2 linked regions of the Lepisosteus oculatus genome follow. The protein of the gene in region 2 interacts with the protein of the main gene of each other region in a biochemical or structural test. Links are inferred from orthologs where the notes say so. Each region holds a gene or a part of one and is shown on either strand. Other genes may lie near its edges. The genes, in order: arih1 and ccne1.

What was found.
Region 1: of the proteins of ccne1 (region 2) and arih1, one has a biochemical effect on the other in vitro, tested with the Homo sapiens proteins (3 studies listed by BioGRID). The link is inferred for Lepisosteus oculatus from reciprocal best matches to the Homo sapiens genes CCNE1 and ARIH1.

What each region holds. Positions count from the first base shown.
Region 1 is NC_090700.1:59,708,857-59,725,492, reverse strand, and holds the start of arih1 (E3 ubiquitin-protein ligase arih1), read right to left. Parts: upstream 6,682-16,636; 5' UTR 6,478-6,681; coding exon 6,193-6,477; intron 1-6,192. Other genes in the region: neogenin, read right to left, coding at 13,095-13,178, 14,574-14,710, 15,179-15,433. UniProt on the Homo sapiens protein: E3 ubiquitin-protein ligase, which catalyzes ubiquitination of target proteins together with ubiquitin-conjugating enzyme E2 UBE2L3.
Region 2 is NC_090715.1:5,978,017-5,993,904, forward strand, and holds ccne1 (G1/S-specific cyclin-E1), read right to left. Parts: upstream 5,999-15,888; 5' UTR 5,624-5,998; intron 5,103-5,623; 5' UTR 5,064-5,102; coding exon 5,050-5,063; intron 4,905-5,049; coding exon 4,811-4,904; intron 4,730-4,810; coding exon 4,667-4,729; intron 4,116-4,666; coding exon 3,949-4,115; intron 3,856-3,948; coding exon 3,720-3,855; intron 3,275-3,719; coding exon 3,128-3,274; intron 2,987-3,127; coding exon 2,891-2,986; intron 2,541-2,890; coding exon 2,406-2,540; intron 1,639-2,405; coding exon 1,527-1,638; intron 981-1,526; coding exon 823-980; intron 677-822; coding exon 560-676; 3' UTR 12-559; downstream 1-11. Other genes in the region: uncharacterized protein F13E9.13, mitochondrial, read left to right, coding at 6,626-6,698, 6,791-6,873, 7,285-7,465, 7,708-7,858, 8,514-8,641, 13,099-13,289. UniProt on the Homo sapiens protein: Essential for the control of the cell cycle at the G1/S (start) transition.

The sequences.
Region 1 (16,636 bases), on a different chromosome or scaffold from region 2:
AATTTACCACTATAAAAATTAAATTACCAAAAATCTTAGACTCAGAATTTCTGCACTTTAATGTGGAAAGCAAAATATTACACAATGCATTTTTAAAGAAATCTAATTAGTGAACTAAAGCAAAAGTAAGATCTACATCTTTATTTATTTGCAATAAAAGTCTGAAAATATCCTTTTATATAGTAAACTCTTGCTTTATTGAATTAACAGGGGAAAAGTGGTGTCCACTAAGTCACAAATTATATGCCCAAAAGCACTAAAACATATATACTACACATGCTTAATGGACCTTTTGACTTTTAACAATTGCAATTAACAGTCAATGAAAACTGTTTATATGCCTTTTCTCTCAAACATACAAGCTGTTTCATGTGTTTAAAATACACTGCAAATAATTTGCTAAAGCAAACAAAACAAACTTATTATAAGGAACTGATCTACCTCTATAGGGCACCATTACTATTCCTAAATCTCAAACCTGTGTAAGATTTAACTTTGTTCTGTTATTTGTGTATTTCATCGTTATTGCACAGCAAGTCTAATACTTCCCATTTTACAGACATAATTCCCCTTTAGCAGAATTTATCCATTGTATCCAAAGCAAAAAATATTAGGGACTGCTAAAATAGAGGAAAATTGTCAGTACAAATTCCAAATCAGAAGGAAAGGAGTATTGAATCATCCAATTACATTCATTAGCTGAGGTCACATCAAGCCAACTGTTAGCATCTCCCATTAAAAACAAGAGAGCATGTGATGATCATTTGAAAATATACATAAAGAAATTAACTTGCAACATTCTTTCGGGATTTTTATTTCAAGAGAATAAATCATGTGAAAAGAGGGCAATATTTAACAATTCAGACAATACTGTATGATAAAAGGCTGTTTTTAGCAGATCTTTGTATAAGATCAAAACCATAACGATCCCTAAAAGCTTGCCAACTTCTAGGCAGAAATCCATTTCAACCCAATAAATGACAGTCAGCCTCCAAAAATGTAACTATAGAGACAACAAAGACACCTCAACAGTTGATAGTGTACTACACAAAGAGAGCATAGTGGATTTATGTTTAAGAATAATAAAAGATTTAGACGACACCTTCTTGCAAAAAAGCCACAGGGCTGGTAATTTTATGAAATGTTGGGAGTACAATATCATATGACATTTTGTATTACTATCTACAGCTTTCGACTGTTAAACGTTGCTTAAACAGAAGGAACAAATGGATTTTGCTTTCTAAATTATGCAAAGATGGATACTATTCACATTTCATTTTTTTTTAAGATGCTGCACGCTGACATTAGAAAGACTGGGAATTTTCATTTACTATTTTAACACACATTGCATTCCTTGTCAGGGTACACTGCTGAAAACCTTAACATCCATTCAAATAGTTTGAAAAAGCTGTTCATTCCATTCCAAAACAGACTACCCTGGTATGCAGGATTATACCCTGAACAGGATGCTATCTGTTGCTAACAGATACTAAGTATCATTGGACACACACACAAGGAAAATGTGAAAAAACCTATCAAGCTACCCATCATTTATTCTGAAGATGGGAAAAAGCCACTGGAACTGGTGAAAATCCATGTTAACGCATGGAGAACATGTAAACTCTATAGAAAAGGTAACAAATCCAGACATTAACCAAGGTCTCAAGAGCTGAGGCTGCCAAGATAACCATAACACCAAGTGGCAGCCTAATATCTTAACCTTGTATGACGTCTTAAAATTATATTTACAGAACAATCTTTATCTATGAAAGAAAAATTAAACCAAAAATCTGAAAGGTTATCGTTCAATGGATTCGTTTTTCTGTTAAACTAAGAAGATTGCCATTAGCTGGATTAGACAATTGTTGATACAGTAAACACCTCTTCCAGCTGATGGTAAAGTGGATGACGGGCAGTGTCAACTTCTGACCTTCTCTCTAGCGCCTTAAAACACCAAACACCAGCAAGACACCTGTGGGGTTCTAGGTGCACGGTGTAGAAAACCCTTTTGCACAGATGTGACAGTGAGACGTAACAAACAGGACCTTGGGATATACCAAGTACTATATTTAGATTTAAGGACAACCATTTCGTAATGCCACAGACATTCATCACTCGCAGCAGCACCACATGCAATTGCAGCAATTATCAATAAAGAAAAAGGAATCTGACAAAAAAATAAAGCAGGTCATAAAGTCAAATGAGGACATGAAACAGGGTCACAGCTTCAGGTATGTTTTCTTTTACACTAACTGCAGGGGAGAGTATGTGCCAGGAAGCCAGCACTAATACATACAATCTAAAGACAGCATCCCTAACACAAAGGAACAAAAGGGAATTCCACAGCTGCTCCAATCTAGCACTTTACTGCAGGTGCTACTATCACTCAAATATATGCACCCTACTAAAATGTGTGCAGAATACGTCAAGATCATTAAAAAAAGGTGAATAGCACAAAATACCTTTTGGAACTATTCCAATCCGTTCTTTGGCCTGACTGTAACCTTATCCTAAGGGATTCTCACAAATGAGTCACCTTTTCCATGTGTTTAGCTCATTGATGCCAACAGTCTTGTTAAAACATTTAAGTTGTAGTCTAGCTCTAAGAAGTTTAATTTCTGCAGCTCTGCTCAAACCCCTTGGCAGCACAACAGAACGTGAAAAAAAATACTTCAAACGAATGAAAAAAAAAAATCAATAAAAGTTAGCAAAAAAAAGTCAAAAAAGGAAAAATACATGATATTTGAAACCTTGCACAAAAGCCTTGTTTGTCAACTACTAACTATTCTTGGCAGGCACATTTAAAGACTTTCAAAAACAGAACTAGGTGCAATTCCTGCATTTAAAGACAGGCAAAGTGAATTTGAACCACCTGCTGAGTTCCAGAGGGCCTCCTCCATTTACTTCCCCATACAAAACAGGGAGTGTTTACTATACCCTATCCCTACATGCCATGGCAGGGAAGAGAAGATGTTTGCTCGTCAACACCCACTCAAAATTCACAATCCCTTCTCTCTGAGGCCCCATGTCTGTGCCAAGGGTGTGGAAGCCAAAACTTATTAATACAGGACAGTATTACAAAGGAGGTCTGATTTACAGTTGTAAGTGACAAAGCATATTTTAAAAAACAACTTAATTGTACTTTTGTTAAATTATTTTTCCACCTCTACAACACGGTCAATGTTTTTCTAATTTTGATAGCATAAAGCAGTTAATTCTTGAACAGGAAAAAAATGTTTACTTACAGGGCTGCTACAGATTACAAACAAACTATAAGATGGCAATGCGTCTAATGAATCCAATACTCGCATGGATAACAGACTATACCAGCCTTTCCCCCTCAGTAGCTCCACTTTTGTGGACATTCATCACCTGAAGCTTATTAAACGGAGGTAAGATACCTTTTATTCCTGTCTCCACCAGAGCCCAAGGGTCATGCAAAAGATCATTTAGAAATATTAAAAGCCACATCACCAGAACAACGGAGAGCAGAACCAAACCGCCTGGGCACATGGAATGAAAAGAAGTCCTGCATTTCTAAACACTGAAAATGCTATCAATATATGCTGGGTGCACACTGCGATTCCTTTATGAATAAGTCTTCTAAATGACAAACACGTTAGAAAAACAATCTGCACACCAAACTAGCTTTAAAATGAAACAAATAAAAGAAAAAAGGCTAGCTTTACACAGTGTACAGCGTGAGAGTTATCTTGAGTCAAAGCTTCTGCAATGAACAAACAAATTTATATGAATACTGGAACTTGAACGCGCTGGAAATAAAGCAGTATATAACTACAGATTATAGTAAAGCTCTGCCCCTAGAGAACTTTGCTGAATTCTGATGGTATAAAGGGCACAGTGTGGCTTAGTTGGCAGCATGTGTGCATCTGCTCATCGGTTTGTCTCCTGTTGAGTTTAAAAAACTGAAACAGGACTTTAATCTGAAATCTGAAACTGGAATTATAATCCATTCCATCATGAATACTTTAAGCCATTATTTTCAGATTTAAACTCTTTACAGAGTAGCTGTCGAAGCAAAAAACAAATCCAGTTGGGGCTGCACACTGGGGGTGGTGGAGGGGATCCCCATTACCTGTAAATCACTTTGAGTGGAGTGTCCAGAAAAGCGCTATATAAGTGTATGCAATGATTATTATTATTAATCATTCATAAGTGGCTGCTGCTCATACAACAGCAGGTAACTCATAAACCAGATGATTGTCAAAGGATGTAGGTGTAAAAAGGGTATTTAAAACTTCTAAATATTTTTCTGACTAAAATGTAATTTTAAAAATGTACATTCAAGCTTTACAGGATGGAATTTTCTAAACGTATTTCTGTAAAGAAGATGCATTAGTCAGAAAAATGATTTGTTTTAGACTGGTCCACTTGACCATAATAAGACATCTCAACTTTCAGATAATAATAATAATAATTGCTTACGCTTATATAGCGCTTTTCTGGACACCCCACTCAAAGCTCTTTACAGGTAATGGGGATCCCCTCCACCACCACCACCAGTGTGCAGCCCCAACTGGATGATGCAACGGCAGCCATAGTGCGCCAGTACTCTCCCCACACACCAGCTCTCAGTGGGGAGGAGAGCAGAGTAATGAAGCCAATTCATAGATGGGGATTATTAGGAGGGCATGACTGGTAAGGGCCAATGGGAAATTTGGCCAGGACACCGGGGTTACACCCCTACTCTTTTCGAGAAACGCCCTGGGAGTTTTAATGACCACAGAGAGTCAAGTCAGGACCTCGGTTTTACATCTTATCTGAAGGACGGCACCCGTTTACAGTACAGTGTCCCAGTCACTATACTGGGGCATTAGGACCCACATGGACCGCAGGGTGAGCGCCCCCTGCTGGCTCCACTAACACCTCTTCCAGCAGCAGCCTTAGTTTTTCCCAGGAGGTCTTCCCATCCAGGTACTGACCAGGCTCACACCTGCTGAGCTTCAGTGGGCTGCCAGTTGTGAGTTGCAGGGCGATATGGCTGCTGGCTACAGACTACAGATTTACTATGGAAATGTATTGTCCAGAAAGCTAAAGGTTGATTTTTTTTTTACATATTTCAGGACTTAGGAACAATTAAGATGCATATTACTTGATCCTGATAAAATAACTAAAGGGTAAAATGAACAACCCTTTTAGTGAACATATATTTCATTCTTTTGCACTTTAGGTAATCTTGATTCCTGGCCGCATTGTGCATAGTGCCTGCATACTGCCGGAGCCTACATGCTTTACTAAAATATGGAGGAAAAAAATGACGATAAATAATTTGAACAAAACTTCAGCAACAACGGTCTTCCTTGTGGTCAATCCCAGAAAATCAGTACAGCCGCCGCTTAAATTGTACCAGAGGAGGAAAGGGCTTTCTGGCCCGGGATCAAATGAAATCCCCGAGTCAGCACCTTTCCTTAATAAAAGAAGTCGCTTTAACAATCCTCGACCAATATGACCGTACGGCCACCAGACAAGGACCTTAAAGTCGAGCGGTGTTTGCTTAGCATAAGTTTTATTTGGCTAAGCAGGCGCTGTGCGGCACGGAACTGTAAAATGGGACCGCCGTCTGAACGACTTTCCCACCCGCTGCCGTCACTACCGTCCACTGAAAACGAGCCCCCATCTCATTAAAACAGGGCTGCAAACAGGGCTGACAGTTTCGAATTAAACTATACATTGTCAACACTCTCAGCCGAGTTCTTTATCAACAGGAGAGGCAGCAGCTCTCCGCCATGTTGTTGTCGGGCCTAAGGAGAATAATCATCATGCAGGTGGACAGCATCAGTGAAAACCCCCTCTTACCCTCTTTTCACGCCGATATCCCGAACCGGCAAAAATAAACCCCCGTCCCCGAAAACCCCCGTTGTCGCCCGCCTTCTACGGCGAGATAAGTAAGCTCTCGTCTGGGAATGAGCACCGCCCTGATAAAAGTTACCCTACTTACTCTGAAAACCCCACGCTTTTTTATTTTGGTTCACCCCCCCTTTAAACTAACCGTTTCCAAACAGGCCTTCGCGCAATGCTATTCCAGTGGGGGGGCCGTGCTCTGTCGCAGTCCCTCCCCACCTGCAAACAGACCCAAGCTAACTGCTGCCGTCTCATCCGGCCATCTCCGGCCTACCGCTTTCCCCGCATCCCCGGCCTTTCCTGCAGCCGGCTCGCCTCGAAACACCTCACCTGGATGACCTCGTTGACCTCCCTAATGCACTCCACCATGTGCTGGAGGATCTGCTCGGCGGTCAGCACCTCGAAGCGGTAGTCCTCCTCGTCTTGGCCCGGCCCCAGGCCGCTGCCCCCGGTCTCCCCGCACACGTCCCGCTCGCCGCCGGCCTCCGCGGGATCGACCAGCTCCACCTCCCCGAGCTCCAGGGTGTCGTCTTCGGGCTCCTCTTCGGCGCTGTCTTCGCTGCATTCCTCCTCCTCGTCGTCGTACTCATAATTGTAACCCTCGTCCGAGTCCATTACTATGTTCACGCCGGGTTGAGACAAGCGAAAGGTCCAAAGGGGGCTCGACAGAGATATTATTTACAACGTGAGACACAACGGCACCAGGAAAAAATTCATACAGACTTAAAAAATTTCAGCCGCAGAGAAAATAACAACACAAGCGCCGCCACTGCTGAGCCAACAAAGGGACGCGGCGTCACGAACTGACGTCGACAGCGCGTCACAGAGCGGCCGAGAGGACCTGCCTGCTTTTTTTGTTGAGTGTAAATAAAGTCAGTTGAAAGAATAAAAAAAATATATATATACATATAGAAAAGTGTATGTTGGTCAGGGATAACCGCCATGTTGGAGATTTCGAAATGCAATCCTAGCCATATTGAGTGTGGCAAAAGACGGGAAGGCTGTGAAAAGGTGGAAAAGCACATTGACGAAGGACTTTCATTGGACGGATTAATCACAAATTCATTTAGTATTTTTGTTCGTCTAGATTCACACTTTTTTTTTTTATCAGATCTCCCATTTCTCCCAAGAGTGCACTGGCGCTTGCTCCCCATTTTACGGGCTCATGTGTTTTCCTCGATGTTTTTGAAGAATTAAGAACCCGGGTGGCATCTATAAAGATGTAAAAGACCAGGAAGAAATCTGCTATGCGTGGAGACGCATATAAAAGTAGACCAGAGGAGTTGTAAATAATGTGCATAGTGTCTTAAAACAAAACGCAAACAGGGAGAAAAATCCAGTCTATAGCTCAAACATTAATAGAATAATTTTATTTAGTTGCTACACAATCAGTTTAAATTAGATTAAATTTTAACAAGATTTCTTAAGGATGTCCTTAGTCACCTGGGTAACAATATTCTTGCAAACATAAATAGCTCACTGGAACAGTTGTAGCCTCCTTTATATTCGCCCTTCTTGAAGATCCCAGTTGAGATTGTTTTTAAAGTAATTTTAGATTTCTTACAACGCATTACAAATCTTTCTTTTCTAGCTATAGGTGATTGAAATGGCAAGGTTTAAAGCGAAAGAATTCCCGAGTATATAAGAATAATTTTGAAAAGTTTCAGTCTGGGATTCACGCCAGGGACCCTTGACACTGCCCTAGTAAGAGTAACAAATGATTTATTGTCGAGTGCATATTTCGCTGTTATTTCTATTCTGGTTCGTTTAGGACTGCTTTTGGGTCATTCCATAGGTGTCTCTGATGAGTGATTAAACTGGCTTAGACCTTTTTAACATTCTGTTTTTGTAGGGATTTCAGTCAGGTGTGGTAAATTTTAAACTGCGGTGCTCCTCCGAGTTCTGTTATTTCTTTATACATTACCCTAGGTGATATTTTTGGCTCTTTCATTTGAAATCACGTAAAAAATCTGATAAACATCTGTTTGATCATTTACGAAATACTGCCAGAATGACATATTTTCTCTCTTAATTCAAGATAGATAAAGTCATTTGTGTATTGATTTCGATACTTTATACTGGGCTTGCAAGTCAAGCCTCGTTCTATGTCTACAAGGCACGTTACACCATTGGGGTGGTTTAAAGAGCAAAGAAAGAACACACAGCCTAGGAATCTTTTATTTCAATACACAAGTTACGTAGTTGAGATCAAATTGTCATTTAGTTTGGCGACCTGGCCAAGAGACAGACAGACATTGTTTCACAAGGCCTGTGCTGGCATTTCCTCTATTGGCGTTCAGAGGGATATGCCATTGTTTTTAAAAACGCACTGTTTATTCATGTTCATTGGGGATGGTGGATACCGGCCTTTTTTTGTATTCCAACACGAATGCTCAGACGTAAACCAAAAATTTATACTTTTATGCAGTAAACAGTTGTATTGAATCATCCATTTTCTAACTGCTTGATCCATTACAGGGTCACGGTGGAGCCAGAGCCTATCCTGGCAAGCAACAGGAACAAGAAGGGATTAGCTCTGGATGGGACAACAGTTCATCGCATCAGGAAATGCACAGACATACACTCACACTGCGGCCCATTTTTCCCACACACTAATTAACTACAAGTATGTTTTTGCACGGTGGGAGGAAAGCAGAGCACCCAGAGGAAACCGACAAACACAGGAAGAACATAGAAACCCCGGGCAGATAGCACCCCAAGTCTGGGATGAAACCCAGGGCCCCAACACTGCGCCCCGGTGTCGTCCTCTCTAATATTATATTTGACATGTAATACAATGATTCAGTTCCACACTCTAAAGCTAAAATAGGAAATACATATTTTTACACTAGCAAGAAAATAACTTTGATGGTAAAGTGTCAAACAGTATTAGACATACTTTAATGAATCAGAACACGCTGCCTACTCGCACTCATCAAGTCAGTTACTAACGAGATATATTTCCTCTGTGTTACAGGAAATATCATTTCACGATGTAATTTTAGTTTGCATTAACAAATATGCATGTTGTATGATTGCATAATCATTGTTCTCTATTATGACTTTCATCTTTTATTATGTATGAAACTTTATTACAAACATAAATCTGCAGAATAGCTAGTTATTTTTATGGCATATCTTTTGTGGAGAGAGAAACATTGGAGACCTATAACAGCCCATTATCTTTCAGTTCAGTTCTGCTTACATTTCCCAGGGGGAATAGTAAATGACTTGTAAAGTCCTATATTAGCCTTGACAGTAACCTTATGGTTAATGATGAAACATTGATATGCAGTGCAGCAGTAAGCCACATTTACACCAGAGGAACTTCATATGAGGGGATCATTTATCCAGCATAATAGGACTTATGGATAAGGAGTCCAAGCTCTGCAGAAGAGAAAGCCTACACTAAACTGTCAAATAGAAATATATATTTTTCTCTCATTAAGTTTTGTTTGTAAACCATCATTTCCTTTGTCCAGCACTTTCCTTATTTAATGCAGACACCACCACCCTATGGCCAGAATCTTGTCATTGTCTCATAAAAAGAACACGCTGCCTTAGCTGTTTGTGTTCAGGATTACTGAAAAATATAAAAATAAAGTACATCAACAAGCACCCAGTAGGAGCCGACTCCCTGACAATATTCAACGGGGCTTCACCCTGGTTTGGCTTAAACTCTGGATGAATTTATTTCAAAGCATGATTTTGATGCGAGTTTTGACGTAAATACCTTATATTGTGTAACAAAAAGGTGAGCTATGTGTAAGAGGTTCTCATTGCTCTATAACCCAGTGTCAAATGGCCCAGGATGAAGCAAACCCTGTCCCACGCTGCCCGCTTGGGATCCGAGAGGGATTTTGTTTGACATGAAGAATCAATAGGAAGTATAGGATACGAGTATAATAGGAAACGAGTACACCCTTCACAGCCCTTTCCTCAGGATTACTATATGTAAATGCGAACAAGGCTGTTGATCATCTGTAACTTGGCTTGCAGTTCAATTAATTTTCCGATTTTTCTAACAGCCCCTTGTGCCCCCTAATTTCTCCTTCATCAGAATCATCCACATTACCGTTTCACCTTACCTTCTCAAACCTCTTTTCAGATATTTCTTTCTCCTCCAAAAAACTTGTTTGGCACTGCACTTGGAATGCCGCAGGACGTAGCTCAGCTTGGGCCGTCTCTTCCTGTTGTTGACACATTTCTAGTCTCATAAATTTCACCTCGATGGAGAGACCCCCTCTGCTGACTCCTCTCCCACCCCCTCTTCCACCACGCATGGCCAAAGCTTTTCCTCCTGGTGTCACTGATCACGACAGCCACTGGCCATCTCGCCACGGGGAGAACTCTCAAACCAGCAATATCCCCAAAACAACACGCAGTGGGTGCCTCACAGTGTGTTGTGTGCAGAGATACAATGGGGGGCAGGTGACATCATTTGCTGTTCCCAGCTAATTCATTTCCATTCCACACCCATTGTGTTTTCTTTGCGTCTTGCTTATTGCCGAGCTGTCCCGGATTGTTGTTGGCTATTATGACAGGAGTAACAGCTTCCGAAAAAGAAACTGGATGCTGCTAAAGGAAATCAGCCTCTCAAAGTAATCTGGGGAATCTCTTAAAAAACCAGAACTACAGTCTCAGATCTTCTCTCTAAAGTGATACCCTTGGGATGGCTTACGTATGTTAAGTGATTTATTCTCATATGCTTTGTGATTTGAGAACTCTTCAGGAAGGTACACACAGGATATAGGAATGATCATATTTGCATTTCCTAAGAGTTTTGACTCTGCTGTGTGGGTGGCAGGAGCTACAGTAACCAGGAGTAGTTTCACCAGAAACCATGACTTCTAGAAAGGCCAGCTGGAAAGTTTGCCTTTTTTTAAAAAGATTTAGTAACAAAGAAAGAAAAATTAATCCAAGTATCCAAAGTAGATGTAAAATATACACAACAAACTGTATTTTTTGACTCGTAATGGTTGGATATAAAATGTATTGGAGCACCAATACAAAATAAGAACATGGAAGTTTTTTTTTTGCTTTTTCCCGTTTTGTTTTTTAAAAAAGCCACAGATTATTCTACAGAAAGCAAAGGTCTTTGTACAGAAAGAAGCAACAGTAGGGTTCTTCTCATCTCCTACATCTTAATAAAACTTGCAGCTCCAATTCATTTCAGAGGCAAAAATAAAAAAAAATAACAGCTGCCAACTGCTAACCTATGACACTACAGGTACACAAAACATAGCTTTATATTTAAAACACAGGATATGTAAGAAAATGTTTTTTGAAAATTGTGAAAAAAGTGCAATACAGGTTTGACTGTCTACAACTTAATAGTTCAATTCCCCGACGGGTCCTTTTCTTTTTTTTTTTGCTCAGCTTTGAACAACATTTCTAACATTTTGTATCCATAAGTAAATTTTCTTACAGTTATATTAACATTCATGAGGATGTACATTATGAGAAACATGATATTCACAAAAGTAGACTAGTATTATGATTTCAATGACATTCTTTGGGTAGAAGGGTGGAGGAAAACAAGTTTAAAACATGAACACGAATTATTTTACATTTCAGTTGTTTACAGAACTAATTGTGTTTCTTCATATAAAAAGCAAATGAAGCCGAAAAACCATTGTCTGGAAGTCCCATTCAAAAGGCAACACCCTTTGCATTTTTTTATTAAAAAATAGCAGTTCCAAATTAGTAAATTACTGCCTTCCCCATAAATGTTAGAAATTATTGAAAAGGTTTGTGTCCTGAGTTCTTCCAGTTTTGGAATGGGTCACAGGTATCTGAAAACAAAAGAAAGTGTGTTCTATAACTGATGTTATCTAGGACACTTTCCAGCTAGTGCTGACTCAGGAAAGATCTCTCCTGCTTTAGTGGAACACACGCTTTGTTCCTCCTGAAGGAAAGCTGACTCTCCGGGTCTGTGATTTTTCAAGTCAATTCTCTCCTTGGCCTCACAATCAACACCTACTGTCATCTACATTACACAGCTCTTCTCCAGACCAGTTCCACAAATCTTCCTCTTCCCAAATTAGAAGCATTCGAATGTCAGTCAACACTCTCCTCCAGTAAGCAGTCTGGCCCTTATGAGCACTTGCTGACCCTTTGGAAGATCTGCTGACCCAGGATGCCTTGAAATTGGGGTACCCCACCCATAGATTTTAGGGACCAGTGCTTTTTTTTTTTAAATGAGGAAAGGTTGATATGAACAAAAGAAGAGGGAGACCCCAGGCAAAACTAGAGGCTAATACTGCCCTAGGGTATAACAGCATCCATAATTAACTGAAATGATCAATATCACCTTCAGAACAAAAGTTAGCTTTAGAAATGAATTAAATGGAATCGCAGTTCTTGAAATTACTGTACAAAGCTACTGAAGGCTGTTGCTCTTCATGAAATAATAAGAATGACAAGTCAGGACCATGGAGATAAGTCTTTGAATGGGGACTCCCATACAAAACAGATCTAATTTACAATGGGGGGAGGGAAATAGTTTCTTGACATAACAATGCAAATAAAATAGAATAAAATTAAAAATACACAACATTCCCCCACTGGACAGAAGCTTCATGAGCTACGAGATATCTTAGTGTTTCACGCTCACATCCAGGAACACGTCAACGATGGAGAGAGAATGAGGCAGTTTATATATATAAACTATATATATATAAAAAATAAAAAGAAACAATAATAGAAAATAATAGTAATGTGGCACAATATATAACACAGAACAGGGAAACGGGCACATCATTCGCTCTGAACGCTGGATACAAAATGGAAATAAAGAGCGAGGGATGTCCCGTGTCCACCTCATATGAAAAGGGTGATTCATGAAAACGCACAATGACACACTAACGCAATGTCCAAACACTGTAGACCTGTGCCCAAGAGCACCAAGACAAAAACCGGCATACTTCTTTATTTTTTCCTTTTTCTTAGAGTTACAAAATGGTGTCTGTCCGAATAACGGTCTCCATGGTAACCGAAGGAAAAAAAAAGCCCGTTTCCGCTGATAAAAATGAAACTTCCATCAGCTAATTGCTGTTTGTACTGAAAATCTTTGTTCTTCTTAAAAACGTGAGCTGTCTCTTTTAAAACGGCCATCTCCTTCCTGAGAGTAAGTGAGGTGAGCCAAGAGTTTCAGTTTTTTTTATTTTTTGAAGTTTTGCAAATCCTTTTTTTCTGCTCCATTCAGGGAATATTGAGACATTCCATTTCGCTCAGGCTGTGGTGATGGCATTGAGGTCCTTCATCAAACCCTCTAGGTGGGCCATTTCCTCGGACAGTTCATCCGCCTCGTAGTTCTAAAGGAAAGGAACAGGGTTACTGCCGGGGATGGGGGTGGAGTTGGTCAATGGGACTGCAGCGCAAGGCCAATACAGAATTTAAAAAAGGCGGGAACATTAACACAGCCAGAGGCGACCATTGCCACAGCATCAGGAAGCGTGATGTTACAAAGATGCGCAGAAAGCAAAACAACAAAACACAAGTCAAACGAGGTATTAAAAAAAGGGAAACGGAGACCGACAAGAAGGCAGCCGATGGTGATTGAAGAAATGAGCAGAGAAAAAACAAGAGGGGAGGAACAAAAACAGACAGAGAAGAAGAGAAGGGAGATAAAAATAAAAAAAAATAATTAGAACCAAAACTGAGTCTTGACTTCTTTGGTGGAAAAAAGTCTAACAGCCATTTCCAAAAATAAAACTTACACCTACAAAGCAAAACAAAATTACATTTACTGGTAAGGAACAAACTGCAACTAAGCCTAAATCATATGCCTGATAGTAGAGATGCAGTAGACTGTAAGAAACTGTTTAAAAATACAACACTACCCTGCAACCTTTCCAAAACTAAAAGAATTCAAAATAATTCAGAATGTGGCACATGGACAGCGTGTTTGTTGACAAGCTTTAGCTAGCTGGAGGTTTAAGACTGAAATAACCTGCTCAACTCAGTTTAACTCATGGGTCTCAAACTCGGTTCATGGAAGGCTTAGTGTCTTCTGCGTTTTGCTCCAACTCTTTAGTCAATTAAGCAATTACCTAATTATTTTCTTAGCTAGGCACGTAAAATATTTTGTTTTGAGCTCCTGTGCACTCTAAACATTTACTTCATTAAAAGGTACCTTTAAAATTATGAAGTGAATTAAACATTTTGATCAACCAGGTAACAGAGCTCAGGTGGAACAAAAACCACAAGACACTGGGACCTGCAGGAAATGAGTTTCACACCTCTGGATTAATCCGTTTGTTCCCATAGCAACATCTGCAAATTATAATCTAAAAATAACTGACAAACAGAGATTGATATAAAGAGGAGAGTAGAACAAGTGACGGTGCTGAAATGGGGAAATTTGGAGGTGGTCTTTATTGACTAACTAGTAATTGGTTGATCAGTAAGTACTGGGACAAAATGCAGAAACACTCTGCCAGAACAAATAACCAGATTCATTAAAATGCAGGAGTAAGGACCAAATTATTTTAAAATAAAAATATTTGGCTAAACTGCCATGTTTGTATTGTTTAATACATAATCAACTAACCAAATCAACTTGCTAGAGAGTGCATAAATCCTGATTGCTGCTAGCTCTGCACTTACACAGTACTTACCTACAGTCCAGTTCCAGGCTGTGCCCCTCTCCAGGCAGTGCATCAGAATGTATATAACAAAAAGAAATCATATTTACGGACTGTACTCACGCTCTCAACATCCTCCAGCATTTTGCTGGTCTCTGGCACGTCAGGGGCACTGGGCACTATGACAGGCATTGGTGAGCGCGTCCTGCCCAGTGTGCCAATGGAGGCTGTCTTCACTGAGTGCACCTGGGAAGCTGGCCCTAGAACAGGAGGAGAAACTGAGCAGCTGGAGTGGCACAATGACAGACTTGTGGTCGGAATAGGACAGTGCAAATGTGGCATAGGATACCGATCCCAGTTTTTTAGAAAGGGCTGGAGGAGGTTGGAATCAATTAACAGGTCAAAACAGGTCCGACAGGTGCTCTCGTTTGTAACCTTTCTTGTGTTCAAAGGCTGACTGCATGCCCACACACATGCCCAGCTACCAACTTTGGCCTTAATTTTCTATATAATATCGTTAAAGCAAGTCAAATGTCTGAAGTGTAGCAAGTGACAATGGCTCAGTTTAGACAAGTGGAATTAGAAATACTGTCTCTGAAATTCAAGGACAGGGAGAAAGATAGGTACAGCAGGAGCAGAACCAGTTCTTAAGCCCAAACCGCGCGGTGCCCTGACCCGCTGCGTCATACCCCCCCAGTCTGAGAGGCGTGATGTCCCGGGGCCCCCACCTGTCTGGGTGAGCAGTGGGGTGCTGGGTAGGGCGGGGGACTCGAAGGAGGTGCCCGGGGTGGGCACAGCGGGCACGGCGAAGCTCTTCAGGGGGTGGGTGGGCCGCACGTGCGCGGTGGGCGGGTTGTAGCTCTCCTCCTCGGGGGCGGAGCTCAGGAAGCTGGCGCCGCTGTCCGGCTCGGGGTGGTCCACGGCGCAAGCCGGCTGCACTGGGACGGGCAAGGGGTCAGCGCTGGGCGTGTTCCTCACCGATTCTGCAAACACAGGCACGCAGCCATCACGCCCCCCGCCGCCGGTCACCGCTCGTTCGGGCTCTGTCGTACACGACTGCCAGTCGTCATCGGAAGAACTTGGAGAAATCCACTCTACTAAGGCACATCTCCCTCCTGCCTTCAGCAACTGCTTAAAGACCTATTTGATCAGTTTAGGTGATTCTGCCCCCCTCTTGTTTGCAAAATGTCTCATTTTAATATACCAATGCATTAAAAAGTCAATGATTCATAATGGTATTCAGAATTTCATTAATCAAAAACAACTCGCTTGTCATCAAGAATTACTTTGCAGACAACTTCGATAATGTGAGGACCTTAATTTTTTTTTACTGTTTTAAGCCATGGCATTTTCTGTTACAATGGGGCAATTACATTCTTCATCATTGACTCAGTCCAAGTTCTACAATTCTTTGGCTTTGCTGATGGTCTCGCCTGACTTATCCCATTGAGTGCCTGGTGATTTATTTAGATCGGGGGACTGAGATGGGCATCGAATCATCTAATATATTCAATTGTGTTAAAGTAATACTTTAATATGCCTGAAGATAAAATGTCAATATTAAAAAATATCTGTAATATGTGGTATCTATAATATATGATAATCGGCAGACTTGGAATGTACACTTTTACTTCCACTTCACATAACTAGCCATGCTAGTTGTGCTTTTTTTATTTACCTTCTCAACTGAATAAATTTGACCTATTATGTTAAAAAAATGCCAATTTATGCTTATTGAGAGACTCCTGAAAGTGCTTCTGTGATTTTTCAAACAGCAGAAAGTAGGACTCTGCACACCAGACTCGGCAAACAGCTCAGTTAGGCATTTTTCTCATGCTTTTTTCCCTCTGATGTTTCAGTTTTTACAGCAAACAGAAAAATGTTTTCAATTTTTTTTTCTCCATTACAGCCATTCATTCCATTTAACACAAATAAGAAACAACATTCCCATTCGACCCAAATCATCTCCATTACTGTAACAAAGTCAGCTGTGATTCAACGAGAGCTGTCTCACCATTAGTTATTTGTAGTGGAAATGAAAAACAAACGGCCAACCCATTTAACTGCACTTTAGAAGGTGCGTGAGGCAATATCGCCTGTCAAGCTAACACATCTTTCATGGCAGAGGATGAGAAATGGGAAACTCGTCTCTGTCAGGGTTGACTGGCCATGTGGAAAGAAAAGTG
Region 2 (15,888 bases):
AATTCAAAGAGTTCACAATATAAAACTGTCTGAGACAGCACCTTTATTTAAAAGTGATATACAAGGTAGCAGCATTTCATTGTTAAAAAAAATTTGGTAAACCGATACTCTGAAAAATTACAAATAAGAGGCATAATACCTTACAATTTCAATGCATTTTGCTTATCAAGCTGGTTTTTCCTCTGGTCCCCTGAATGGCACATTTGGTCCCAATGGACCCAATCAAGCAGTGAAAAACAGTATGGGCCATGCAAAAAAAGTCTGTCAAAATCACCGAACGGTCCAAGTCCCACCTTCTCTAGCAGCAATCAGAGCAAGAAGTGTAGCTCTAAATATTTGTCAGGTGGTTAACCTGGTACCACGTCCATTAAAATGCCGATTTTAAAAATTCCACTTGAGACTAAAAAGGGCCTTTTTAACTTCACACACAAACCTGTGCCCATGCTCAAGCAGACATTAAAATGAGTTTTTCAGTAATGCCTGAAATCATTACATCTCTCCAGGAACGTTGCTCAGTGAATTTATCTTCCTCATTCATCAACTCAAGATCCTTGATGACTCAGGATTCAGAAACCCCCGTCTTCTCACTGCTTGGAGGTGGGGTAAGAACACTCAAAGGCACTGGAGACCGCTGGTTCTGATCCAAACCCATAGCCTCGTAAGCATACGCTTTCTCCTGAAAATGAGAAAGGTAAAACCCAAGTAAGTGGGCCGTCTAAAAGCAGATAATCCAATGGTGGGTTTTAGCAATGACTGGTCTGAAGATTTGTAGGTCTGCAACTATTAGTATGTATCTGTGAAAATATTTCTGTGGGAGCTTACCAGCCACTCCAGAAAAGCAGCATGTGTCTGGATGTTGTGCAGGTCATCTGCTGCTATTCCTTTGAACTTCTTCAGTTCCGAGCTGCCCACTTCCCTAATGGACATAGCAAAGGGAACCATCCACTTCACACACGGCTCGAGGTCTTGCAACTGGTAACCTGCAAGGAAAAAAGAATGTCATTAACCAATAAGCCACCCATTTTTAATAAGCACTTAGTCCCAATGCATGGCTGTGATGAGCCTAACCCAGCAGACAAAGGTTGTGAGGCAAGATATACCCAAGACAGAATGGCAGTCTTTGACAGAGCTCAAATAAGCCATGTGGAGCTGTGCTCTGTCCCTGCCAGAATTAGAACATTGTCTTTCACAAGCTCTGAACACACACCGTCCCACAACCTAGACAGTGATGAACTATTACACCAAAAGACAAGATGTTCCCTGATAGGAGAATTCTAATCTAATTTTCATTAAACGGATGTTACATCTGTAAATGCTTAGTGCACCATTACATATATGTACAGAACCTTGACATCATTGTAGCAGGAAAGCGGAGCAAAAACCACATAGCCAGAGAGATAATTTGCAAATCTCCACGCCAGAATAAGACCCAGAACCCAAAAGGTGTGGTAGTAAATACTCTGGCCTCCCACCACAGTGCTACACTGTGAGCACATTTATTCAGCAAATTAATTCAGTTTCTGTACCTGAAACCTTCTGCACTAGTTCAACTGAAGAGAAGTGAAACAAGGCAGATGCAGCCAGCACCCCATACGAGAACTCCAGGCATCGGACATCCAGTGCACACAGGTCCAACAGCTAAAAAAAACCAAGGGAAAATCTTGGCAAAAGAAATCAAGGCAAAATTTTACTGCATTTACTTTGGGTGTGAAAATAATTCATCTGATGTTAAAGCTGGAAACAAATTCCATTAATTCTATCTCAGCCAGTGGCAGGTGACGAGGTACATTCCGGTAGGTCCCAATATTATATTAAATCCTCCAAGAGACCAACAAATCAAGCATGAAGAAGTCTACTGGTTCGTTTTCACCAGCCCCGAGGCCACAAGTGGAAACGAGTTTACAACCAAGAGCAGGAGGCACAAAGGCCTGTGGAAGTGTTGAAAAAGCTACCCATCTGCATTGTTGCGGCCGATACCATGGCTTCTTTCAAGAAACGGCTGGATGAAATCCTTGAATTAACTCTCAAACAGTCTATGCGTGCTGAATGACCACCTCTCATTTGGATCCTTTCAAATTTATGGTAACAAATTTGAATCACAAAAGATGAATCCTTCTCCTGGGCACCCAACATGAGCACAGGGAGTACTGCCCATGCTAATGTCATTGATGTACCTGTATTACAGTTCTCCCTTAATGGACAGTTAACAGAGAAAGGCATCATATACTCATGATCACGTGGGAAAAAGTATTTTATGAACCTCAGACCTCCTCTTTGTAAAAGGGTGCAAATGTTGCTTTAAAACCAAGAACTAGATTATGAAAATAGAGCAAAGCAGCAATGACCCCCCCACTCCCATACTAGAAAGTGAGGAGGATTTTTCATACCCATATTTAAAATCTTACCTCTGCAATTTGTACAAATGTTGTTTGGGGATATTGTGGAATTAACATCTCGCTGCTTTCCTTTAAATATGCTACTTGCATATATATGTTGAGCCAGGACATGGCTGTCAAAGGGCTCAAACTCCACTTCAGCTCCTGAAAAACGAAGGACCAGTCAGTGTGAGAACAAACTACATTTCAAATATTCTTTGGAAAAAAAAGGCAATGCAAAAAGTGACTATTCAAGAGGATAGCATTAATCTAAAAGTGTTAATTTTTGCTTATTTTCCTCCTCTCAAGGAAAGAAAAGGGCTCTGGAGTGGCTTTATCAGAACACAAAAGATGAATGGCCCCCAACAGGTGGGCACGTCGGAAAAGAATATCTGCAGGCCCTAATTCTCCACGCGCACGCAGGACAGGTGCTGCCAGAAAAACTGGGACTTGCTATCATTTTAAATTGAGTGGCTGTTTATTAAATATGCAATAAATTCTTACAGCTCAAGTACCTTCATTATAATCAGCTCCATATCCAGAATTTCATCCTCTGTACAAGCGCCATCAGTAACGTAGGCAAACTGGTGCAGTTTAGGAGGGTAGATTTCCTACAGGGAAAGTTGGGGAAAAAAAATCACATGCCTTTCGTAACCACTGAAGATCATTAGACGTCACCATGAGAAGGAAGTGTGAAGACAGAAATAGATGTACAAGAGCACAAACTACAAAATGCCAACATAAAAAATTACCTCCAGCTTTGCAGCAATAAACAGTGAGGAAATGCCAATAAGTTGCAGTCTTGTTTTTACAACGTTCATTTGTGTTGCCATAAAACGGTCAAAGAAGTCTTGTGCCAAGTAAAAGGTCTCTCTGTGTAGCTTGTATACCTCACATACCTGTAGAATGAGGGAAGACAAAAGTTAAATACCTCTATTTTCACTTAGGCTTAGTTAAGAACTCAAAAGCCCAATTCACATTTATCCTTTGTATGATCTCGCATCAACTGTTTTAAAAAAAGCTAGTCAATCTAAGGGCTAGGTAAGGTCCAGAACTATAATCACATCACGATACCTGATAATAGTAATCTCTGAAGACAAAACACGTTTCACCTCATTACTCCCCACCCAAATTAATAGGCAGCCACAATTATGGTTCTGGACTTGTAACTGGATGGTTTTGGGTTTAAATACCAGGTGAGAAACTGCAGTTGTAACACTGAGCAAGGCATGTCACCTCTATTACTTCAGTAAAACATGCAGCTGTATGAACAAATGCAAGTGCAGGCACTTTGGATATTCAACGCAAGGACTTTAAAATCTAGAGAAAAATCAATTTATTCACCTCCATTAGCCAATCAAGAAGTATGGCTCTCATTTTTGGTTGCAAGTGTGGATGCCTCTCCATAAAGCGATTGTCACGCACATATACTTTGTCTTTCTGTAGAAGGTTATTCCAAACATCATCTTTGTTAGCCCAGCTGAATAGAAAAAAAAAATAAGAATTGTCCAATTACTCCACACAAAAAATATTTACAAACTACACAAAAAAGAACTACAGGATGGAGACGCACCAGAGGACAGGGAGAGGGGAGGATCTTGTAGGAGTGATGAAGATATTTTTAAACATATATTGTGCACAGCCGACATCATTCAATGCAACTGGTTCATCTACTTCTTTGTCAGGTGTGCAAATCAGCCTGCATGGACTTGTGCAACCTGTGGCAGGATTCCAACTAGTCTGAGGAGAGAAAAGAAAAAAAGGCAGATCAATAAGTGAAAAAAAGAATACAATACTCAAATAAACCCCCTTTAGCCTGCTGTTTCTTTTAACTAAGCAAGAAAAAATGCCAACTTCACACAGCTCTCATCCGACATTGACAAGGAATGGAGGGAACCTATTTTTTAGCATCTCCTTTGAATCATTTCATAAATATTTTAGCTTTGCCACCAGAGCACACATTTATCTTTAGGACTTATGCATGTTCTTTTTGGAGGGGGGACATGGGAGAGAAGAGCTGAATGAATATCAGAATTAATACTAACCACCTCTGGAAAAAAAAGAGTACATTTCACAATGCAGCACTTATTAAAAGTGCAATAAAGAACACCCTTGAAATGATTTCACCTTGGGATTATATCAAAAAGGGCTATAAAGAACTAAAACTTTTAAGACAAACCTTTTTTTTTTAAAAAAGACTACATTTTGAAACAAATCAGGAAAAATAATGTATGCTAGCCTGGGCCCAATACCAATGTACCCAACACATAAAATGACTATGCATACAGTACCTGGGTGTCATACTGTTTCTTGTTTGTCATTTCGATGACCTCTTCATCTGGATCCTGCAAATGCTGATAAATAAAAAAAAAACTTAGATAAGTCTTAACATCACTAAATGAAACGCAGGGATCTCTGGGTGCAGTTCCACTTACAATTGCAACGTCTGCCTTCCTTTTCCTGGAACGCGTTGTGCTCCTCTCTTTGGTTACTTCATCGTTTGCCTCCGTCTGCAGCCCGGTCTTCAGGCTGAAAAATAATTAAAATAATATTTGTATACCAATGCATTACATTTTAATCCATATCGACTGTTGGAACACACTGCTCCCTATATCATTAGGACATAGACGTTTTAATCGTTGTATAATAATGCCCAAAACAAATAAAATCTTACTTTTTTCTTGGCATGATATCCTTTGGGGAATTCGTTAAGCCGAGAATGCCACTCTGAAAAGACAAAATTGGTTAAAACTGAATATAAAATGTTCTGAAACTTACTCCCAACCCCCCACAAAACCTCATTCACAAAAGCTCAGACGCCAAGTTTCTTTAGCGCGGGGAATGGAAGAGGGGCACAACGTTTAGGTAACAAGAACAATTCGATTTAACTACGCAATGGTTACATTTTTACACACATCGAAAGCTGAAAAATCATATTTTGAATCCTGAAAGATCGGATGGCTTACAGTAATTGTAAAAAGTATAAAAATACTCTTGATTCCGTGGTCGCTTGGCTCAACCAGACATAAAATGGCCGAGCTATTTAGGAAATCCCTCGTTTTTAAAAACGCGCTCTCTATCCTTTTTTTAACAAGCTACACCCAATTTTCACCGCTTTATGTACAATATACAACCTCAAGCTTCGGAACATCCACTTTAGATCAGCTGTTATGAAAAATACAACTTCTAAAAACAAACTTTAAAAACTCTGTACCGGTGCTATCGACTTCCCATGATTCAGTTCTTACCTTAAAGATGCCCCCTTCTTAATATGGGGTATTTAAAGTAAAATAATGGGGGGAAAAGAATCCAACTATTGCTCTCAGTTCATTGAGAAACGCTAATCATTTTTCGTGGCGTTTCATCGAAGTGGTTTAATTCTGGCCCTTTGTTTTTAGGCTACCCGCTTCAGACGTGTTCCTCTTGGGTAGCTGCCTGTCCTGAGCTGGCGCGATGCGTTTTGCGCCTGAGCTTATAAGCTGCTGCTCTCGCCTGTCTGCCGGGAGAAGGGGGTGGCTGAGCGGGTCATTTAAAAACCTGGCGCGCAACGCCGACCCCGCCACCTGGCACAGGCTGTACCCTCGTCCGCCGCGGTCCGGCTCTCTGACGTCGAGCCGCCAAAAAATACTCAAGCCCCGAACCCCAACAATTTATTAGGCGAGCTGCGTTTATTTTTATGATTTATTTCGCCGGCAAAAATGAAAAGGGGGCGGGATGGCGGGGGAGGAGGCGGGGACCGCTCCGGGCGGGGTGGAGTCCCGATGCGGAACTGCGGGAAAGCGCCGCATGGCTCGGCGCGGCAAGATGTAAACAAATCGAGCCAGCTTCGAAAATACACGGAGGTCTGTGGAGCTGGATGCGGGGTGTGATCCGTTTCGGGGCCCCCTGTCGTCTTTGTTCGATCGTCCGGGTTGTCATGACGGAGAGAGGGAGAATTAGGCCAAAAACTGGGGGGAGTCTTGTGTGCCGCGCAGTGGGTGCAAGCCAAGTGACGATGGATTAGGTGGCGCCCTTACTGTATTTGACCGCTCGATAAAACAACACTACTGTATAGCCAAAAGTTTATAATAGGTTTCAAAAATTGTTTTATAAAGGGGTGTATTTTGCATGCTATCGTGTAGTTTGTATTTTTATTTATTCGTTTTTGCACGCTAATATTGCACTGCACTTAATTTGAATAAAATACGAGGCGCATAAACTTTGACCCGTCACGTGACAGAAAACAAAGTTTGACCAAAAATAAGTCAAACATGAAGTTTTTAAATCTTTTTGGACGCTTAAAATCCATTGTCATCGGCATGGTTCACGTAAAGGCTCTACCAGGTTAAAACTGTAACTTGTTTTTTTTGCATCAGGTGTAGATGTTTAAAATGTAAGGAGACTGATTTGTGGTATCGTGTAACTTGATTTTTCAGGTACTCCGCTGAACAATCTTGCAGTTGCTGAAATAACAGAAGCAGCATGTCGTGAAGCAGAGCTGTACAGCGATGCAGGCATTGTAAGAATCGTTATGTAAGATTTACTTTGGTCGCTTTATCTGTCGAGATTGTTTGGTATAGTGGAGGCTGCGATTGGGGGTACATTTGAGTACAATGCAGTGACTGCAGAGTTAGTCCTACACTAATTCAATCGCAGTTAGATATTGCAGTTAGATTACCAACAAGTTGTTCTAGTTCCTTCTGAAAGATTGACTCCTTGTGTAGGATGACAAAGTGGAGTTTAAAACTGCTCAAATGCAATTTATTTTTATTCGGTGCTTTAGCAGGGTGACGAGAGTTTTCTCTCCAAACAAGAGCTTTAATGGGCACAGTGTTGCATACTGTGGATACGGTTTATAATTACGAGACAAAGGCCCTAACTAGGCCATAGCATTTAAATAACAATGACAGTGAAATTGTGCATTTCACAGGATGGACTCATTATTGAAAACATGCATGATCTTCCCTATACAACAACTGCTGGACCAGAGGTCTATGCTACTATGACAGCAGTCTGTACTGCAGTGAGGCAGACATGTCCAACCCTTCCCATTGGAGCCCAGATCCTAACTGCAGCTAACCGGGAAGCTTTAGCAGTAGCTCTGGCATCAGGTAATGTTATTTAACTGCTTAATGTTTTTTACCTTGCATGAGACTTGAGGGAATTTTCAGGTGTGGATTGCAACGCTGGAAATTCTTGATATAATGTAATCTTACTGTTGTTTTTTGCAAACTAAATATGAGTAGCTTACACTTTAGTGAACTGTTGCTGATTACACAACTTTAGTGTTATTTTAAATAGTGTCTACAAAGAACACATCCGAGTGAGTGTTTCTTTTTTTCTTCTTGATAAGGCCTTGATTTCATACGCGCAGAAGGATTTGTCTTCTCACATGTAGCAGATGAAGGACTTTTAAACGCATGTGCTGGTGACCTGTTAAGGTACCGCAAACAAATAGGAGCTGAGCACATCCAAATTTTCACTGATATAAAGAAAAAACACAGGTAAGATAACTGTCCACTGACTGCACAAAGCGTTTTACTCATGACCTCATAGTTATAGAAAAGTATTCAGTTGTGTTACACTTCCAATTTAAATAGTACTACTGTGAATGCCCCAAGATGCACTATGCTTGTTCAGTGAAAAAAACAGTTTTCTTCAAGGGTACTTTGCTGTGTAGTAATTCTTATAATGTTAAAAATAAATACTTAGGGCAGCAGGGTACAGTGGTTTGCATTGTTGCTTCTCAGTGCTGGTGCCCTGGGTTCAATTCTGGACCTGGGCTGCTATCTGTGTGGATTTTTGTCATGTTCCTCCCCTGTTTGTGTGGGTTTTCTCCTGGTGTCACAGTTGACTCCCTTAGTCTAGAATCATACTAGAAGGTAAACTAGTTTCTTAGGAATTTGGCCTTGTTGTCAGTGTGTGTGTTTGTGCCTGTTTGCCCTGTAATGGACTGGCAACCCAACCAGGGTGGGGCGTTTCCCGTCTTGCACCCCTTGCATGCTGGGATAGGCTCTGGCATCCCTGTGACCCAGCATTGGATGAAAACAGTTAGATAATGTATGGATGGATGGATAAATACTTATGTAGACATAAGAGGTGCCAAATTTAGAAGTTGTAGCAACTCATATGTTATTAAATAGTATAATTTAATTTCAGCTCTCATGCCCTGACGTCTGATGTCAGTGTGGCTGAAACGGCCAAAGCTGCTGAGTTCTTCCTCTCTGATGGCGTCATCCTGACTGGAACAGCCACAGGTATACAAGCCGACCCTGAAGACCTCAGAGGTGAGTCCTGCTCAAAAGTTATCCCAAGTGGCAGGGCCTCCTGAAGCCCATTCCTTGATTTGATATGATCAATAGACTTCTGACAGCCACAATAAGTGTCGTGGGTTGAATGTTGTCTTCTGTTAATGTTATGTTTTGTTTGTTATGCTCGTGTCGCAGCTCAGTGGTAGGCTGCTATGCCTTCGATCTGCCTTGATCGCCGTAGAGAGACTGATGCAGAGCAGGAATACCTGCTTCAGTGAGAGGTAAACTGCAGCAGGTATTTAAACTGTATTCAGTCTCTCCTCTGCGATTCGCCATTGACGTTTATACCTCACTTTTAAACCACCGTTCCAGTTTCCCAACGGAGCCCTTCCTATTCCTTCTTCCCAGTTTCCTCAGGCTCTGCCTGAGCTCCGTCTTTTGCCCACGGCTGTGCTGCCTGGAGCACTGGAACTGGGGGTTGAGTCTTTAGCAGGGACCCGACCTTAGCATATGCCTCTGCTGGCCCGGTCCATATGGCACCTGGGAAACTGGTCCCGTCCACTTCCGGGCTCTTCCCCAGATGACAGTTTGCCAGGAGACTCTGCCTGGCCTGGTGTTTGGAGGAGATCCCCCCTTTTTAAGGGCGTGTGTCCCCTGAATCAGCCCGTCTCCTGGAGAGCCCTCCGACTGGATCACCCTGGTTTGGAGTTTCCTGTCCTGCCTTGGAAGGTCAGACTTCCCCGCCCTGTGAAGCCCTCCTGGGCGAGAGAGAGCGACACCTCGACGGTGCCTGCTGCAGGATCTAAGTGGACAGTTTGCTCATTTCCTGGAGTGGCGGTGCTGACCATAATGTTGTCATGGAATTCATACATTCCTTCATTTAACTTTGTCCCATTCAGTTTGGGGAAAAGTCCTCTCAGAAGATGAGGTGTCAGTTTACTAACAACTAGTCAGTGATGTGAAAAAGAAAGTACACCCTCTTAAGATTCTATGGTTTTACATATTCAGACATATCTGACCTTCACCTAGACCTCACCAAGTCCTAACAGTAGATCAATCTAATGTCATATGACAGATAACTTGTGGAAAACGTACGTGCACCTTTACTGCTTCCATGCCAGTTAAGGAGATAATTAAAATAAGGTGCTACTAAACAAGTACACATGATTAGCTTATCATCAGAAAGCACTTCCTCCGTATATAAAGTCAGAAACTTTATTATTTTTTTAAACAAAAGTTTAATCTGGAGCATTCAGGTTTGTGGTAGCATATAATGCCTGGGTCAAAAGATATCTGTGATGGCCTCAGAGAGAGAATTGTTGCTGTTTATCAGTCTGGGAAGGGTTATAAAGCCATTTCCAAACAATATGAAGTCCACCATTCCTCAGTGAGAACAATAATTTACAAATGGAGAAAGTTTAAGACTGTTGTCCAGGAGTGGGTGTCCCAGTAAATTCACACCAAGATCAGACCACATGAGGCTCCTAGAAATCGGAAAGAACCCCAAAGCTACATCCAGGGAACAACTGGCCTCTCAATACGGTAAACATTAGAGTTTATGATTCTACCTTTAGGAAAATGTAGAACAAGAACGGATTTCATGGAAGGATAGCCAGGAGAAAGCCCCTTCTATCTAAAAAAGAACACTGCTGATGGCTTATGTTTGCAAAACAGCACCTGAATGAACTATAAGACTTCTGGAACAATGTCCTCTAGACAGACATAACCCAAGTGGAGTTTGGCCGTAATGCAAAATGACGTTTGGCGAAAACCAAACACTACGTATCGCCACAAGAACCTCATACCCACAGTCAAGCATGGTGATGATCTGGGCCTGCTTTGCAGCTGTAGGTCCTGGACACCTCACAGTCATTGAGTCCACCATGAATTCCTCTCTATACCAGCGCATTCTAGAGGACAATGTAAGACCATCTATCCAACAGCTTATGCTTATCCAAAAGTGGACTATGCAACAGGACAATGATCTAAAATGCACCAGTAAATCTTTTACTGAAAATGAAAAGAATCAGGACCTCAACGTCATTGAGATGCTGTGGCGGGACTTAAAGAGAGCTGTGCATAAACACATGCCCTCCAACATCACCGATCTGAAGCAGTTTTGTAAGGAGGAGTGCACCATAATTTATTTCAGTTGATGTGAGAGACGGATAAACTCTTACAGGAAACATTTACTTCAAGTAATTGTTGTTAAAGGTGGTTCCATACATTAATGAATCACATGGTGTACAAACCTTTTCACACATGGCTACTGAATGTTGGCTGATTGTTTTGTTTAATAAATAATGACAAAATCAAATTTCTGTTATCTGTCACATGGGGTTAGATTTATCTACTTTCAGGACTTTGTGAGGACTAGGTGAAAGTCAGTTATGTCTTAATATATAAAGAGAACTGTAAGGGGGTGTACTTTTTTTTTCCACATCACTGCGTGAGTAACCGAACATATTTCATAACTAGCAGCTATAAATAAAATACAAGAAAAACAGAAAATGGATCTTCTTAGTATCTCCATTGCTAAATATTGTAAAGTACAGCTTCATTTATTTGTAATAATAAATAGTCAAATACAATTGGTATAATGAGTTTGTTCACACTTCTTGCAGCAGGCTATGGGAAAAGGTCACAAAGTATATTTTATCTGCCTTTGTATTTACCATTATTTATTATGTATGCTTCTCATTACATGTACACTGACTGGCTCCCTTTTTAGACATAGATGGATTAAAAATCTTATATAATATTGGTAAGAATTGACAGATCAATTTACATGAATTGATCTTTGTTAGTGCTATGCAAAGGAAAGCCTTTTTTGTCTGCTTCATGGAGGATTTCCTAGTCTGTTTTATTATTGTGATCAGGTTTGCCCTGGTTCAGAGGTTAAATCATATTAAATGCTACTGGTGCCTGTGGGATCTGTACGCCTTATAAAGAGCAGGGCCGCCTGGGAACGAATGCATTCCAGTCTCCTGAATGATATCTCTTGTGAAGGGCATGCATTCTGTCTGACATAAGCTTGCTTTACTAATATAGCCACCACCTTTTGGTCTATTTTTAAATAACGTTCCAGATGGCTGATTTGTGCTGAAGGTGGTAAACACAACATGACCGACCCAGACTGCCACATTATCCTTCGTCTTGCTTGGAACTCTGCCTACCTACAGCATGTCTCTGCTGCCGAGCATTTCAGAGGAGACCTCCGTGTGCCAGTTTATTAACGAAAACAAGCACAAATGCTTCTTCATTTGAGTGGCAAGCAGCTGTTTTTGTTATTTCTCTTGTTCATTACAGTATAAATATGATTTTAATATAAACTACACAGTGCCATCTTCCAATTAGTGAGTGTATTCTGAACATATTTTGTATTCTGTACTGTATTTGAATAAACATGTAAGCTGCAGATGGTAAATTGTGGTAACGGTGTTAACAGGGTTAAGGCTATTAAATTTTCAGTTTTCAAAATTGTTTAAGAATTTCCCTTCGATAAATTATCATTTTTTTTGTCATGTATTTAAAAGGCCCCATCCAGGTAAAATGTATATCTTAAAATGAGGAGTTTGTACAGGACATGATGAGAAGGCATTAGGCCCATCTTGTCCATTGTACAACCAGTACAAGGTTCTTTCAAGTAAAGGCTGATCCAAGGTACGTATCCAGCCTTTACTTGAAAGAAGCCAGAGTACCAGCTTCAATGGAATGTCTGGATAGCTTTTTCAATACTACCAAAATGCTTTGAGTAAAGAAGTGGCTCCTGTTCTTGATTTTAAATGCAGTTCCACATAGAGTCAGTGTCTTTGAATATTTTAATTACTTGTATCACTTCCCTTGTAATCTTTGCTTTAGACTATGCTCAAGTGTTCAAGACTAAAAATAGCTGTGTACTGGCCATTAATATAGAGAAATTAATACTGCACTGTAAGTGTGGTTTCTGGCACAGGCAATATTCATTTTCACACGTAATGCCAGTTTCATGAGATACATCTCATTGTTGTTTAAGTATAAGTTGTGCAACGGTAGAAGTAAAATTATGGATTTTGTGTGTCCGACACTCGGTAGCAAAATCATTTTTTAAACTGTCAGTCTTCATTCAGAATCCTGCGATTGAAAGACAAGCTTACTCTGAATTGACCACTCTGGCATCCGTGAAGCTTGTCTTAATTTACTAGGTTTAAATTCAACCTTTGCTCCTTATTCTGTCTGTCCAAGTGCATTTACTCCAGGCTGTTATATTTAACCTAATAGAACAAGTGGGATAAAACATTTCAGAAACTGGTGAAATTAGTTTAATTAGTTCAAGCCTTTGAAATAAGAAAATTAGAAGTGGAATTGGAAAGTATTGCAATAATAAGATATTTAATTGCAAGATAACACAATAGGCAAATGTAATTGGCCATGAAGTGCTGTATAGATGGAAACAATGCCATTTATTTGTGCTCCAGAGAGATAACAAAGCTACCTCACCCTTTATTTTGCAGAGGTCAGACGAGCAGTAAGAATCCCAGTTCTGATTGGCTCTGGGGTGACCCATGAGAATGTGGAGCACTACCTTGAAGCAAGTGCAATGATCATTGGCTCATACTTTAAGAAAGGAGGATTTTGGGCCAACAGTGTCGATCCAGAAAGGGTCAGGAAATTCATGGGAAAGATGAACAAACTCAGAGTATGAATAATTGAAAAAAATTGATGTTCGAAAGGACACAGTGTTGGCACAGAAATACAGAGTATTTGACTAAAGTGTTTAATAATAAATCACTCACTTGGTCTGAATCTTTCCGTTGGTTCTTAATTAATTTCATAGAAGGGAATGATAACATTCTTCACAATACATTAATCCTAACTTCTCAGTACCTGAATGTATTTAATAATGTTTAAATCTGCATAATCAATCTACATAACATTGTTCATATCAAAGCTTTATGTTGCATTCAAAAATGTTAGACTACAGCAGGTAGTGGATATGCTTCCTTTTTGTTTTCTAGGTAGTGGATCTGTTTTTTTTCTCAAAGGTTTGTTCAGCTAATGGAGACTGACGTAACATTAAGACGTGAATTAACACTTAAATAACCACCCTGAAATTATGACTTTATAACCCACTGCAAATCAAGACATTTTGTAGGATTAACAGTGTTGATAAAAGCTGTGGATACTCCCGATATTAATTATAGATAATGAGACAAAACAGCATTTTCTAAAAATACACAGCATTATGTATTAGACATTTTGCATTTATTCTGCTATTTTAACTCTGATTTTTCCTTCTTTATGCAGAAACAATTCTGTGGTGATTTGCTACTGAAATATGTACCATTTTGTTTTAAATTTACAGTTAATCCTGTTCACTTCCTATTCAGTAGCATACAAGTAGTTTTTTAGCTTTATGAATGTGTAAAGAAACAAACAATGTTTAATATAAGGGTCAACTGAAAATGAATCAATTAGATTTGATTGGCAAATGCGATGGAATTGTTAGAATTCATATTGGCTTGTTATATATAGTTTACCTTTTATAACCAACGTGATCAGGTTTTTGAAGATTCTAATCTCTTTGAATTAAGTATTGTTAAATGACTGTCGTGGTTTATTTTCACTCAAAGCTTTATTAATAAGCCAAAGTTGTGATAATACTAGAAAAGTGATTGTAATGGTTAACTATTTCATCAAAATTGTTTAGACTTGCACAGTTGTGTAAATAAAATGTTCTTCAATGCATAGCATCTTTAAGAAATTGTGATTCATTCAAAGTGAAAAGGTTATAGAAACTGATATTTATTTTGTATTATTTGAAGTTTCTTTAAAGACAAAGTATGCATAAAAACATATATAAGAAACAAAACTAAAATATAGTCATATTTACACACTGAATTAAGTGGTGATATGTAAGTCTATAAAACACAACACAAAATACATCAGTATGAACAGGTGATTACGATATAGTGGTATGCTCACTAAAATATAAAATGATGAAGGTCATGTCACCTTTTCTGTTGAACTAATACATAATGAGTTTAAAAGGATCTAGTGTTTCTTGTTTAGGCAGAATTACAAAAGCAGGAAACAGTCACACACTAATACATTTACATAGATGCAGAAGTCATGGTACTGTACTGCAAAAATTAACCAAGCGCAAAACACTCTTAAAAGGTTCTAAGAAGCATACTTCCTCAGATACACAAAATTGTGTCAATGTTTTTGCAGAGCTATAATTATTTGGATAATTTTTTTACAGGCAATAACACATTCATATCAAAACGCCAACTTTATATTGTGTATTCAACAGAGGCATTTTTAGTTTTTAAATTTCAAACACTGCAACCTAAAGAAAACGTAACTGAAATCCTTAAAAACTGTAAAATGGCAGAATACGGTCCCAGTGGAAACCTGAGGGGAGTGGTGTAAAATTGCACAGAAAAACATTTGTTCTTTTTGTAACCTGCTACTGTATGAATTACATATATAACAAATATAATCAACTAATATAACAAATGAATAATCAACTAAAGATTTTAATTAATCGAAGTAGAAGGCACTGCATATGTTGTAACGAGTGGATTATGCCAAAATGAATTCTAACATTTCAGCTAAAATCTGCATTTTTTAAACAGCAATTTAGTACAATCTTCTGTATTTAAACAAATTGTGCACATAGCTGCCATTGAGCCACTGCTATACACATACTTAATCTAATTAATCTAATTCATTTTCTTGCATTCTGACACATAAAAAGAATTTGAAGCATTTCTAAGACTAATAACCATAATCAAATTGTTTTCAATGTGATGTGTAATAACATTTGGCATGTCATTGATACAATCACTAAGGAGAAAATATAAGTAAATCATTAGGAGGCACAGCTGTAGGGTGCTCAACACAATGTTCATATACGTTTAGGCACCCTAAGGTTTAAACCTTACATGTGAAACCATGTCCAATGCGTCCTATTTATGCTGTCTCTTTTACTTTGACTGAATATAGAGAAAGTACACAGGAAAAAAGGTGTGCAAGGTGTTCCAAGTTATTATTATAAATATTATGCACTTCTTCACCTGTAATAAGAAGCTACTTAAAGAGAAAAATGTCCTTGTAACAAGTTCAGCCAGTTGCAGTGGTCTGCAATAATAAAACCTGTTATACGAGACCTCCTACGATAGGGAAAAGCCAACCTTTTTTCATCAGAAGGAATTCCATAAAACAGGTTAAGTGTGCAAACGCAGGGATACTTTCTACATCAAACAGAATAAAGTTTTGCTTTTATTTTTAAAAATATA